Linked DNA regions of Caenorhabditis elegans. The protein of the gene in region 2 interacts with the protein of the main gene of each other region in a pairwise test. Each region holds a gene or a part of one and is shown on either strand. Other genes may lie near its edges.

Region 1 (3,757 bases), on a different chromosome or scaffold from region 2:
ATTTTTTCTTTTTCTTTTTCAATGCTTTTACAGACTTCTGAACCCCATCAGGACCCCTCCAAAGCTTGCGAATTTCCGTTCTCAGGAATAATGACGAAACCCGAGCCACCACTCCATTTACATACAGCTCTCAGCTTCTTCTTCCCTCACTACTTTCAAGGCGTCGGACGGGGTGCTTCACAAACAATGCCATCTGTATTTGTTTGCTCGGCGAGCAGTAGCACAGGAGCTTTACATATGTCGCTGTTGTTCAAATACACGGTAGTGGAGGTGATAACTAGGCCGGGGGGCAGTGAAGTAATGAGTGAAAAAATTAAAATTTTGATAAAAACCGGCCAAAAAAATTTGACTTGAATCAATCCCGGAGGGTTCCCCAAAAGCCCTAAAACTTAGTAAGAGCCCGGTGCGGAAAAAAGGTATAAGGGTATCTAGTTTCAAGTGACCGCCGGCGAACAGGTAAGAAAAGAGCCGCGGGAGTTTTCTCAGAGCTCCCCGCCACCAAACAGGTGTTGCGATTTCTACCATAACTCGGTGGAGAGCATAGTTCGAGGAAAGTTGTCAACTAGCAAAATATTACTTGGAAAATTTCCTACAATTTTGTGGTTGGAAACTTTTTTCTTGCTATTCTAGTTTTAAAGTTACGAGGGTTTTAAAAATTTAAAAATAAGCGCCAGGAAATTTTCAAACTCATCTCTTATGCTCATTGAGCCATTTTCTGACTCGTGACTAAAATTTTCGACATGCCTATACCCAAATTAGTCTAAAACACCAAAAAAAAAAAATTAAGCCACAGCGCGGACTCGAACCCGGTCTTCTGCTTGGAAGCCCACCAAAATCCCACTGAGCCACTTGCACCAAATTTTCGAAATTTTATTTTTGGATTTTTTACTGCTTTGCCACAGAAATTGTGCATCGAAGAGCCCCAAGACCTCTGAATTCGATCCCGTCACCACAGGGGGTCCCCCCAACTGTTGCAAGTTGGCTAATGATGGCTATATAATGATGTAATATGGTTGCGTGAGGGGGTATCTAGACTCAACTGGGTATTGGAAAAAGACTAAGGGGTGCCTAAAATCAACTAGTCGCATAAATTGACCAAAAAAAAAATCCAAAATTTACAATAGGGATGTACATCATAATTTTTGATAATTTTTCTGATTAATGTCAGTTTAAAAGGCGATTCGGAGCAAGTTCCTAGTTAAAAATGTATCTTTTTGGAAAAATAGTGAAAATCAAAAATAAGTGTGCTCATTGAGCACCAGGTGACCCAGACATTTGTTTACGTGGATTATAAACTTCGCTAATTATTGATTTGTTTATTTTTCCGAGTTGCAACAAAGTTCGGAATTTTCTACTAAAAAACTTCAACCTAGAAGTTTAAAAGATAGAAATTTGAACTCAGCGCACTCAAATTAATCTAGAAACAGTAAAATGAAAAAATTGTGCCACAGTGCGGACTCGAACCCCGGTCGTCAGATTGGAAGTCATCCGAAATCCCACTGCGCCACTTGGACCAAATTTTCGAAATTGCGAAAAATGAAGAGTAAAAGCTCTGAAAAAAGTTTATTTCAGCTTAAAAATCTACATTTTTATCTGAAACCCCAACCCCGTACCATTAAAATTCGCAGTTCTACTCGTTTTGAGCTCCGAGAGCTTTTTTTCTGGGTTACAAGGAAATTAAAGCCAAGAATCATTTATATAGCTCATCCACACAAAAACAAAAATAAATGCTACAGCGGGGACTCGAACCCCGGGCTTCTGCTCGGAAGCTGTCCAAAAACCCACTGCGCCATTCAGGAACATTTTTAAGATTAGAAATATCGATTTTTCGAGTTTTTTAAATTAAAGTTCACGGTTTAGAAAACTCACAAAATACAGAGAACATTGTAGGAGAGGTTAGCTAGAACTGTCTAGGTACTGAATGGGGAAAGGAGGTACATGGAGGGGGGGGGGGGGGGGGGGGGGGGGGTGTCTTGGAAGAGCTCATCTTACAGACAGACCCTTCTCGCAGAACTTTCTCCAGTTTCATCACCATGCCGATATTTGATACTTTTGGGATGGGGTACCGGGCGCCCGGGGGCGCCCTGAAGCGACATATAACTCACCTCAGAATCTGGAAGCATTTTTTTTTTGATTCAGGAATTGCGAACAATTTCAGATATATAGATTTGGAAATTGTTGAGCAAAAATTTGAGCAACTGGCACGCAGAAGCAGGGAGAGACTGACTCTGATGTATTTGTGTGTGTGTGTGTGCTCTCGTTTTCTCTGCCGGCTCTCTGAGCTCTCGGAGCTCTCACCCCTGAGCTACCGTATGTCTGAGCCAGTCGGCTGTCTGCTCGGAGCTCCGCCTTTTGGTGGAAAATCGCATTATTTTCGGATTCTGAAAAATTAATTTTGAAAAAAAAGTTTTGTACGAGTGACTCAGTGGGATTTTGGAGGGCTACCAATCTGACGACCGGGGTTCGACTCCGCACTGTGGCATAATTTTTTTTCTTTGTTGGTTCGACTATATAAGCCCTGCTGAACACGAATTTTTAACATACAAATTTTTAACTTTTTATTGAAAATAAACTATCAAGCTTAAATTTTAATAGCTCATTGCACCTAGCACACATGAGACATATGCTGAACAGTCCCAAAAAATGCTCAAAATTTTTAAAAATCAGCTCAAACCTCGATTTTCTGAAAATTTGCTCGAATGGCTCAGTGGGATTTTGGAGGGCTTCCAATCTGACAACCGGGGTTCGAGTCCGCACTGTGTCATAAATTTTTTTATTTATTGGTTTGACTATACAAGCCCTGCTGAACACGGATTTCTGACTTATATACTATTTGTAATAACATTTTCAACATTTTGGGGATATATATATATCCCTTCGAAGCTTGGTCTCCAATAGCTTGAACAACTTTAAAACAAGTTCAAAATTGGAAAAAAAAAATATATCGAAATTGCTGAAAAATCAGCTCAAACCGTAATTTTCAAGTTTTTCTGAAAATTTGGCCGAATGGCTCAGTGGGATTTTGGCCGGCTACCAATCTTACGACCGGGGTTCGAGTCCGCACTGTGGCATGAATTTTTGTTTTGCTGTTCTCAGAATAATACAAATCTCCTGAATTCGAATTTTCAACTCTCAAAACCAGAAAGACTTGCTAGGTCGGCTCAAACTTAATTTCTTTTTGTGTACGAGTGGCTCAGTGGGATTCTAGCCAGCTACCAATCTGAGGTCCGGGGTTCGAGTCCGCGATGTGGCATAATTTTTTTTTTGGTGTTATTCTACTAAATTTCGACTTTCCGAGTTCGAATTCGGTCAAAAATTAGACATTTCCACACTGCTTTGTGATTTTTTCGAACTTTTATACCTTCTCAAAAAATCGATATTATTTGTTGATTTTACCCCCTTCCCTTATTTTCCTCTCATTTCTGAGAGTATAGGGAGATGGGGAGCGTGCGAAAGCGGCGAAGCGATCATATTTCAGTTTTCGGGAGCACAGAGTCGAGACGCTGACTTCAATTTTAGTAGTATATGGGACGAGGGACGATTTTGCAATGGAATATTGATTTTGGAGGAAACCCATTGAGTTTTAAGGCATGGGACCTTGAAATTCGGATTCAGAATGTCGATATTAGCCAAATAACACTAAAACAAAAAAATATGCCAAGGCGCGGACTCGAACCCAGGTGGTGAAATTGGTAGTCACCCAAAATCCCACTGAGCCAGTCGGACAAAAAGTTGAAAAGTTCTAGAAAATATGAAA
Region 2 (3,757 bases):
ATGAGCTCTGTCCCATTCGGAACTGTTGATTCCCGGAGCCGTGATTCATAGATGAGTTGGAGGGACCTGCTGTGGAACTTGTTTGAATTTGAGAGAGTCCATGAGCCATCAAGAAGCTTTCCGGCAGATTGGGCAACTGAGGTGCAGGGCGTGATGAGCTTTGTTGAACTGGGAACTGTTGATTCCCGGAGCCGTGATTTATGGAGGAATTGGAGGGACCTGCTGGGGACCTTGTTTCAACTTGACCAATTCCATGAGCCATCAGGAAGCTTTCCGGCAGATTGGGCAACTGAGGTGCAGGGCCTGATGAGCTGTGGTTCATTCGATTCCCGGAGCCGTGATTCATTGCATTGAAAAGACCTGACAGAGAACTCGTTGGAATTTGAGAGTTTGCATGAGCCATCAGGAAATTTTCCGGAAGAGCAGGCAATTGAGGTGCAGAACCTGATGAGCTCTGTCCCATTTGGAACTGTTGATTCCCGGAGCCGTGATTTATAGATGAATTGAATAGACCTGACAGAGAACTCGTTGGAACTTGAGCGTTTGCAGGAGGCATCTGGAAGGTACGATCTCTCGAACGGTTATCCATGTTCATTGCTCGAGTATCTGCATTTTGATTATTTGGCCACAAACCCATGTGTGGAGGAGCTTGAAAGCCGGCATTTGGAAAACCGTATGGCATATTTGAAGTCGGATATCTTCGTGCATGAGCCCTCTGAGCAAGTTCATAATCGTACATGTCTACAAGCCTGGGAACTCCGTGAAGCCTGGGAACACCGTTAGACAAAGGTCTTGGTACGAAATTCATTGGAACGTGGGAATCGCCTTGAGCCATCTGATTACCCATGTTCATTGCTCGAGTATCGGAACTCTGACCATTGACCTCAGGACCAATGTCTGGAGCTTGACCGCCCGTATTTTGTAGACCGTTTGCATTATTTGGAGCCGAATGTCCTTGTATTTGAACCAATCGTGAAGATCTATTGTCTGCCTCTCTTTGGTAATTATATTGCAACCGGAAAATTGGAGCATGTTCTGTTCGTGATTGCGATGACATGGTGGAAGAAGATTCAGAGCGATTTCGATTTCTTGTATCCTGAATCACTGGCTCTTGGAGGCTCGTATTATTGCTCGTTCTCCCATCTCCAATGCTGCCAAATTGATTTTTGACGCGATGTGTGGCCCGGGATGATCTCCGTTGGACAGTCCGGCTTTCGCCTTGAAACGAATTATCAGAAAAACTGTATTCGCGCCACTGATCTACGGATGGTAGATTGATGGAAACGTTACTCCGGTCACCTGCATACTCATCGCGATCAACACCTGAAACAATTTAGCTTATTAATATATGAAGTGCCAAAGAATAAATGAAGTTGTACTTATGTTTCCGATAAATGTTTCATATAAAAAATAAATAGAAATTGGAACCTTATCAATTTGTTATGTTTTGATAACTTATTTTCATTCAATTATTACCCGGTACTTCAGTAAGAAATAAAGAGAGAAAATTTCATACAACATGAATATATGATTCTCCCGACTGTTGAAGTAATGCACTGTGAACGTAGATAATTTTCTAATCAAAGTTTAGATTTGAGGCTCACCTGGAACCTGGTTCTGATGTGAGGGCGCCTGTCCTCCTTGAGACTCGTCTCTCGATTCATATGTCTGTCCACGCCGAGTTGTTGATCGTGGCGGAAAATTGCTTGCATTCCTGTTGTCCGTTTCCTGTGCAATTGTACCACTTTGGTTAGTTCTACTTTGTGTGGACGCGGATGAATCGGATTGAACGGTTGGATCATCGGCAAGAGACGTGTTTCCAGAGAAGCACAGCCAAAAATTCTCCAAATTATTTGAGCCATTGTACATGTCTGTCCAATAAAGTTGCTGCTGGTTGTGAACTGCACCTGTAACAAACCGGTTTAATAAATATAGTGAATCTAAATTTATTTTTTTTTACCTCCAATACTACGCATGTTGGTCGAAGAAACTGATTCATCACGATTCCCGACTCTCGCTCTTTCTTGGGACTGTTCGCGACGGTGATCTCCGGGTGGTGGGAGATTCTCATCCGATGAAAGATCATCACAATTTTCCATTGCCGCGCAACAAATGGAAACCTAAAAATTGAAAAATTGTAGAAAAATGTTAAGAAAAAAGAAAAAAAAGAGATTTCGCAACAACTGCAGATGAAACAGAGAGCGGACCACTGTCCACGTGTAATGGAACGAAGACTGAATGGAGTGCCTCGGAAGGAAAAGTGAGAGGGAAGAGACGCAGCAAGTGCGTGACGGAACTGTGACGATGGATATGATGAAAACAGTGCACACGCGAATTATTGATTTTACCATTGTAAACTGGAACAGATAAAAATGGAACGGTTCTTATTTATGCATGATTTTTTTCTTTGAATTTGAAAACCTAAGTTAGCTGTGAAAGGGCGAATGTGATCGTTTGAAATTTCTCAGAAACCTTATGAAATTCTGGCGTTTGAGAGTTTAAAGTATGCAGAAATTAGAGTTGTAGGGATTTCAAGAAAAAATTGCATAGTTCAGAGTTTCTCAAAATAAAATTCTCTGAAGTCTTATTGGTGTGCAATTTTCTGCTGTTGAACTATTTAAAACAGTGCTGGCCAATACTCGCTTTCAATTTTTCGGCGACTATTTAGACTTTTCCAATAAGTATGCTCCAAAAGCTATACGTTTCAGCAAGAAACTTTTAACTAAAAAAGTGATCCACACGTTTTTATCTACTTAACCTAGTTAAATACGAGCATTCGTTGATCAAATGAGGTCTTAGGTTGATCACTTGAAAAATATAAAAATGCACCGAATCAAGCCACATCATAATTGAACTTTACAAGTTTGTCCTACCATTAAACCTGAACTCGTTTTCTCAATATCTTCATCATGTGAAAAACGGTATGACTTTTAAAATAAACCAAAATAATTCAATGGGTATTTGTTTTTGAAAGATATATGTTTGGATTAGTAATTTCCAGTTTTTACAACAAATTTCAAACATTTAGAACAAAATATTTTTATCGAAATAAACAACAATAGTCGGTGAAATTGTACTGGACAGTGACTGGAAAACCGGTAAGACTGAAACTGAGCACTATGAGATACAAGTACAATACAAGATGGTTGAAGAAAATCACAGGAAAAAGAATTTCTAATCGTGAAATTGGTTAGTGTGGTAGAAATAGAGAGTGTTATGGTACAAAATTGGGTAATAAGATTGATGTTGGCAGGCGAGCCAAAAGTCAAAATTAGTTGCTGGGAGGTTTCTACTATGAGATACAAATACAGCACAAGATGGGTTGATGGTTGATGAAAATCACAGGAAAATATAATTTGTAATTGTGAAATTGGTTAGTATGGTAAAAATAGAATTGTTATGGTACAAAATGGCAGCACAGTAAGTGTGTTCTTGTAGGCGAACCAATTGTCCAACGTCTCATTCATTGCTTGGCAATTCCTTGTCACTGAAAAAAAAATTGCTTGTTATTTATATAAGTTCACAAGTCTCACCTTTGCTTGTCCGATTCTTGTGGCTCAGCTTGTTTCAAATCACTTTCAGAATGAACATTCTTGGTGCAATCAGGAGCTTCGTCATCTTGTTGGTGGAGGAAGGATTGAGACATGTAGCCTTTCACAGAGCTGGCAATATCACTGAAAAGAAATAATAGTACATCGGAATTCGTTTATTATGGTTAACATACCTTGAAGTGCTTGGCTCAGGCGAAAAGTTGATC
Region 3 (3,757 bases), 6.8 Mb from region 2:
AAACCCAACTTTGGAATATTGACGCCTGTATTGAAAAATTGGTGAAGGATTGAAAAATTTCAGTTAAAAAAAGTTATTTTTTTATGAGATCCTTTTTGCAATAGTCATAAATAACACACATTGCAAGTTAAAATAACTTTTGAGGTTAAAAATGTTTTTTTTTAGCACAAGACGGAAGCACTGATTTTTTAAATATTCCAATTTCCTGTAAGATTTTGAAATGTTAAATGATGTCTTTATGAAAGATTGCTCATAAGGAGAACACTGTTATCAGTAAACCCCCGACATGGAGCACCCGTTGCAACACTTTTCTCCATTTCTTAAACAAACTATTCTTCTTTTATTGCTTTTTCTCGACGTAATTTCACTTTTTTCCGGTTGTAAAATAATAATATATTATAAGTTTTTACAACTTAAAAAATAAATTGAGCAAAAACTTTTTCAGAATAGTATGAAAGATAGTTAATTCATTAATATAATTTTTAAGTTGTAGTCTTTATGACATTGTGTACATAACAAGTAAATGCAATTTGTCTGTGAAAGTGTTTAAATGTACAAACAATAGGCAACTCATACCCACTAAATGAGTCATTAACGTGTCCTTCAAAAAATCAAAGTTCATAGTATTGGAAAACAGGATAAAAAGTCATATTAATGATGATGCTTTTCTTCAGCGGAAATAAAAAAAAACCTTTTCAAAAGTGTATCATGAAAATTAGCAATTGATCCATTGCATGAAACAATAAAAAAAACATAATTTATAGTAGTGAACTCCAATAAAATTATAATAAATAACAATCAAAGTTTTGCTTAAATAATTTGAATGCCAGAAACTTAGCCTGAAAGAAAATTAACTTTTTTTTATCATTCACAGTTTGCAATTTTATCCTGCAATTTGAAAGTTAACACAATTTTTAAAAATTATTTTTAAGGTTGTACTCTTGGTTATTCTAATTTGCCATGATTAACACTTTCCTATTGACCAAACTTTTGTCTAAAATGAATAATCCTGATAACGATTCTGTCTAACGGAAACCAAATGATGGCTTGTTTGATTTTCCACTAGAAACCTTTTGAAAAACAGCAAATCTGGGTCGTTATGCTGATATGATATAAATGAATAAGAAAATAAAGAAGAATAAAAATGAAGGACTTGATAAATAAGAGTCGACTAATTATCCCAACTGATAATTTACGACTAAGCTATCCCATTTCTATTTTCTCTCCCAGCCTTCCCAGTTCTCCTCCCAAATACATCCTTATCAAAGTTGTTTCCCCCGTCTTTCCCGTTTGTTCATTTCAAACCCACAACTGATGACTGTGTGCCTTCTCGTTTCACCACAGATAATCATTATTATTGAAACATACCTCTAAATTTTATTAGCCAATTTCACACCTTTGGCTGCTCACTCACTGATAGGTGATTGAAAGCACGAAAGAAAATGGGTTGAATAATGCGAGCGGGACGGGCAAGGGGATGGGAATGATTGGGGGTGAAATAGAAGCCATCTGATATCAATAGCCCTTTACTCTAGGTTAGGTACAAACCGCTCATTTCTATTATTGCTTTTTCTTCATTACACAAGCCTTAGACTCTCTATCTCACTATTTCACCGCCCCATCACCACACACTCTTTCTTGTGCCCAGCAGGAAGATTTGTAATGTTTTCAAACATTTTGTTCATTCAGTTTTTTCACTGCTTTTTCCTATTTTTTCTCTTCATCCGGCAGACAAATCGTTTTTCTTGTTCGAATTGATTCATAAAAAAATATTTGGCTTTTTTTTTCAGAAAACTGGGATGGACCTGGATCCGAACCTAGTTATTAACCATGACGACACAAATTTATCAGAGGCATCTTTTACAATGTAAGTTTTTTTGATTGAACGAGCCTGCAAATTTGAGGAAAAGAAACAATTTATTTTGATGTTGGGAGTTATCAAAAAAAAAATTTTAAAACTGTTTTAAAATATTTTTTACAGGGAGCAACACACCTCGAGCTATTCGGATATACACATGGGCTCAACGCCCTGCACCGGCCACCGCAAGGTGGATATGTGGCGGAATCACAACTTTGATAGCGGTTTCCAAACAATGAATCACAGTGAGGTACGAGAAAACAGAGGAGAGATAGACACACACACACAACAAAGATTAATGTGTTTCAATTTCAGGCTCCATCTATTATATCATCTCTACATCCGTCATCGCATCTTTCCGGAATGTCATCCATGGCCGACTATGAGCCGATCCCCACTCTTTCAGATCAAGTAAGACCATTTCATATCAAAATGCGCTGGTGGACAAAATTGTTATTTTTCTTCCAGCAAAAACAAAAGTTTGATGGGATCACGCAAAATCAAGCGGATGGGCAGTATAACACAGTTCGAGCAATTCCAGAACTCACTATGCTTATGAAAGATCAGGATAATGTAAGATTTTTTTGTTCAAAACTTTTTTGAAATATTCATACTCATAATTTCACAATATATGAATTAAAAAAATCCTCGGTTTTGACCTATTTTTTATATTTTAATTATATTCAAACATCTTGTATTCCAACATGCAACAATGCTCGAAATGTTACAAATTTTTGGAAAACTTAGCAACTTATCAGAACTGTGACTGAAATTTTTGAAAAAAAAACTTTAAAAAATTAGAAACGTATGTCTACTATTACTATTATTACTATTACTATTACTATTACTACTATTACTGGACTACTATTATTTCATTTAGGTATAATATGATGTTAATTGATTTTTAACTTTCAATTACTCAAAATAAATTATCAAATCTACAGTAAGAAAAATATTTAGTCGAATTTATTCACTTAAATTTTCAAATCACAAAATCTGAAATTAAACTATGAACTTTTGATTTCAGTACTGATATTAACACAAAGATAAATTGGTTCTAATGCTGCTTACTGATGAAGCCGGTGTTTGAACTTTTGATTGTTTGTAACATTTAAAATCGATTATCAAAATTGAAGTATCTGGAAAAAATTTAAAAAAATTGATTGTTCTGCTGAAAAAAACATTATTCAAACAAAAATCTTACAGGAGGTTGTGCACAAAGCTGTAATTCTGATGCAAAATATTGCGAAGATGGAGTGTGACCCAATGCGACGGCAAAATGAAGCTCGAATTGTGGACCCCCGTGTTATATTTACACTGCGTGATCTTCTCCGTGACAAAGTTGAATTCCCGGTATAGCTTGTGCACTTGCACAGTTTAATACATCATATATTTTCAGAACATCATTCGTTGCACTTTGGGAACATTCTTCCACATTTGCAACCGACAGGAAGGAATTGATCTTGTCACTCGAGCGATCGCAGAACAACCTGATATAATTCCAAATCTTATTAGGCATATTGGGTAAGAAAGTTAAATTTCAGAAAAAAATCATTCAAATAGCTGTTACAGTACTTATCCAAGTTCAATATACAAATATGCCATTCTTACTATGCATTCGATTCTGTCCGATAAGCAGAGAGGCGGACAAAGTGTGATCATTGCGCGTCAACAAGATGCGATTACTGTAAGATTAAAGAAGAAAAAAAATTGAAAAAAAAAAATTTACAAAAAATTGCAGCATGTGACTCCGTGGTTAGAAGCGGAGAAATCAGAAAAACTTCTTCCAGTGATAGTTGACTTGATCAGAGTTTTGTGTGAAAAGAACACCGAACAGAAAATCAAGTTTGTGAAAATGGGAGGACCTCAAAAACTGCTCATGCTACTACAACACAGAGT

Evidence for each region.
Region 1: the proteins of meg-2 (region 2) and eya-1 interact in binary tests that used the Caenorhabditis elegans proteins (3 or more experiments, as listed by UniProt).
Region 3: the proteins of meg-2 (region 2) and bar-1 interact in a two-hybrid assay, tested with the Caenorhabditis elegans proteins (one study listed by BioGRID).

What each region holds. Positions count from the first base shown.
Region 1 is NC_003279.8:14,229,120-14,232,876, forward strand, and holds the start of eya-1 (Protein phosphatase eya-1), read right to left. Parts: upstream 2,242-3,757; 5' UTR 2,124-2,241; coding exon 2,106-2,123; intron 1,912-2,105; exon of another isoform or gene 1,870-1,911; intron 1-1,869. UniProt on the Caenorhabditis elegans protein: Tyrosine protein phosphatase. Acts probably as a transcription regulator in the embryonic and postembryonic development of several tissues including pharynx, vulva and gonads. Required for the development of anterior tissues during late embryogenesis.
Region 2 is NC_003284.9:13,924,010-13,927,766, forward strand, and holds the start of meg-2 (Protein meg-2), read right to left. Parts: upstream 2,121-3,757; 5' UTR 2,100-2,120; coding exon 1,961-2,099; intron 1,908-1,960; coding exon 1,605-1,907; intron 1,324-1,604; coding exon 1-1,323. Other genes in the region: Protein meg-1, read right to left, coding at 3,460-3,487, 3,534-3,674, 3,725-3,757.
Region 3 is NC_003284.9:7,168,659-7,172,415, reverse strand, and holds the start of bar-1 (Beta-catenin/armadillo-related protein 1), read left to right. Parts: upstream 1-1,790; 5' UTR 1,791-1,799; coding exon 1,800-1,867; intron 1,868-1,981; coding exon 1,982-2,108; intron 2,109-2,173; coding exon 2,174-2,269; intron 2,270-2,326; coding exon 2,327-2,431; intron 2,432-3,064; coding exon 3,065-3,211; intron 3,212-3,257; coding exon 3,258-3,382; intron 3,383-3,430; coding exon 3,431-3,545; intron 3,546-3,599; coding exon 3,600-3,757.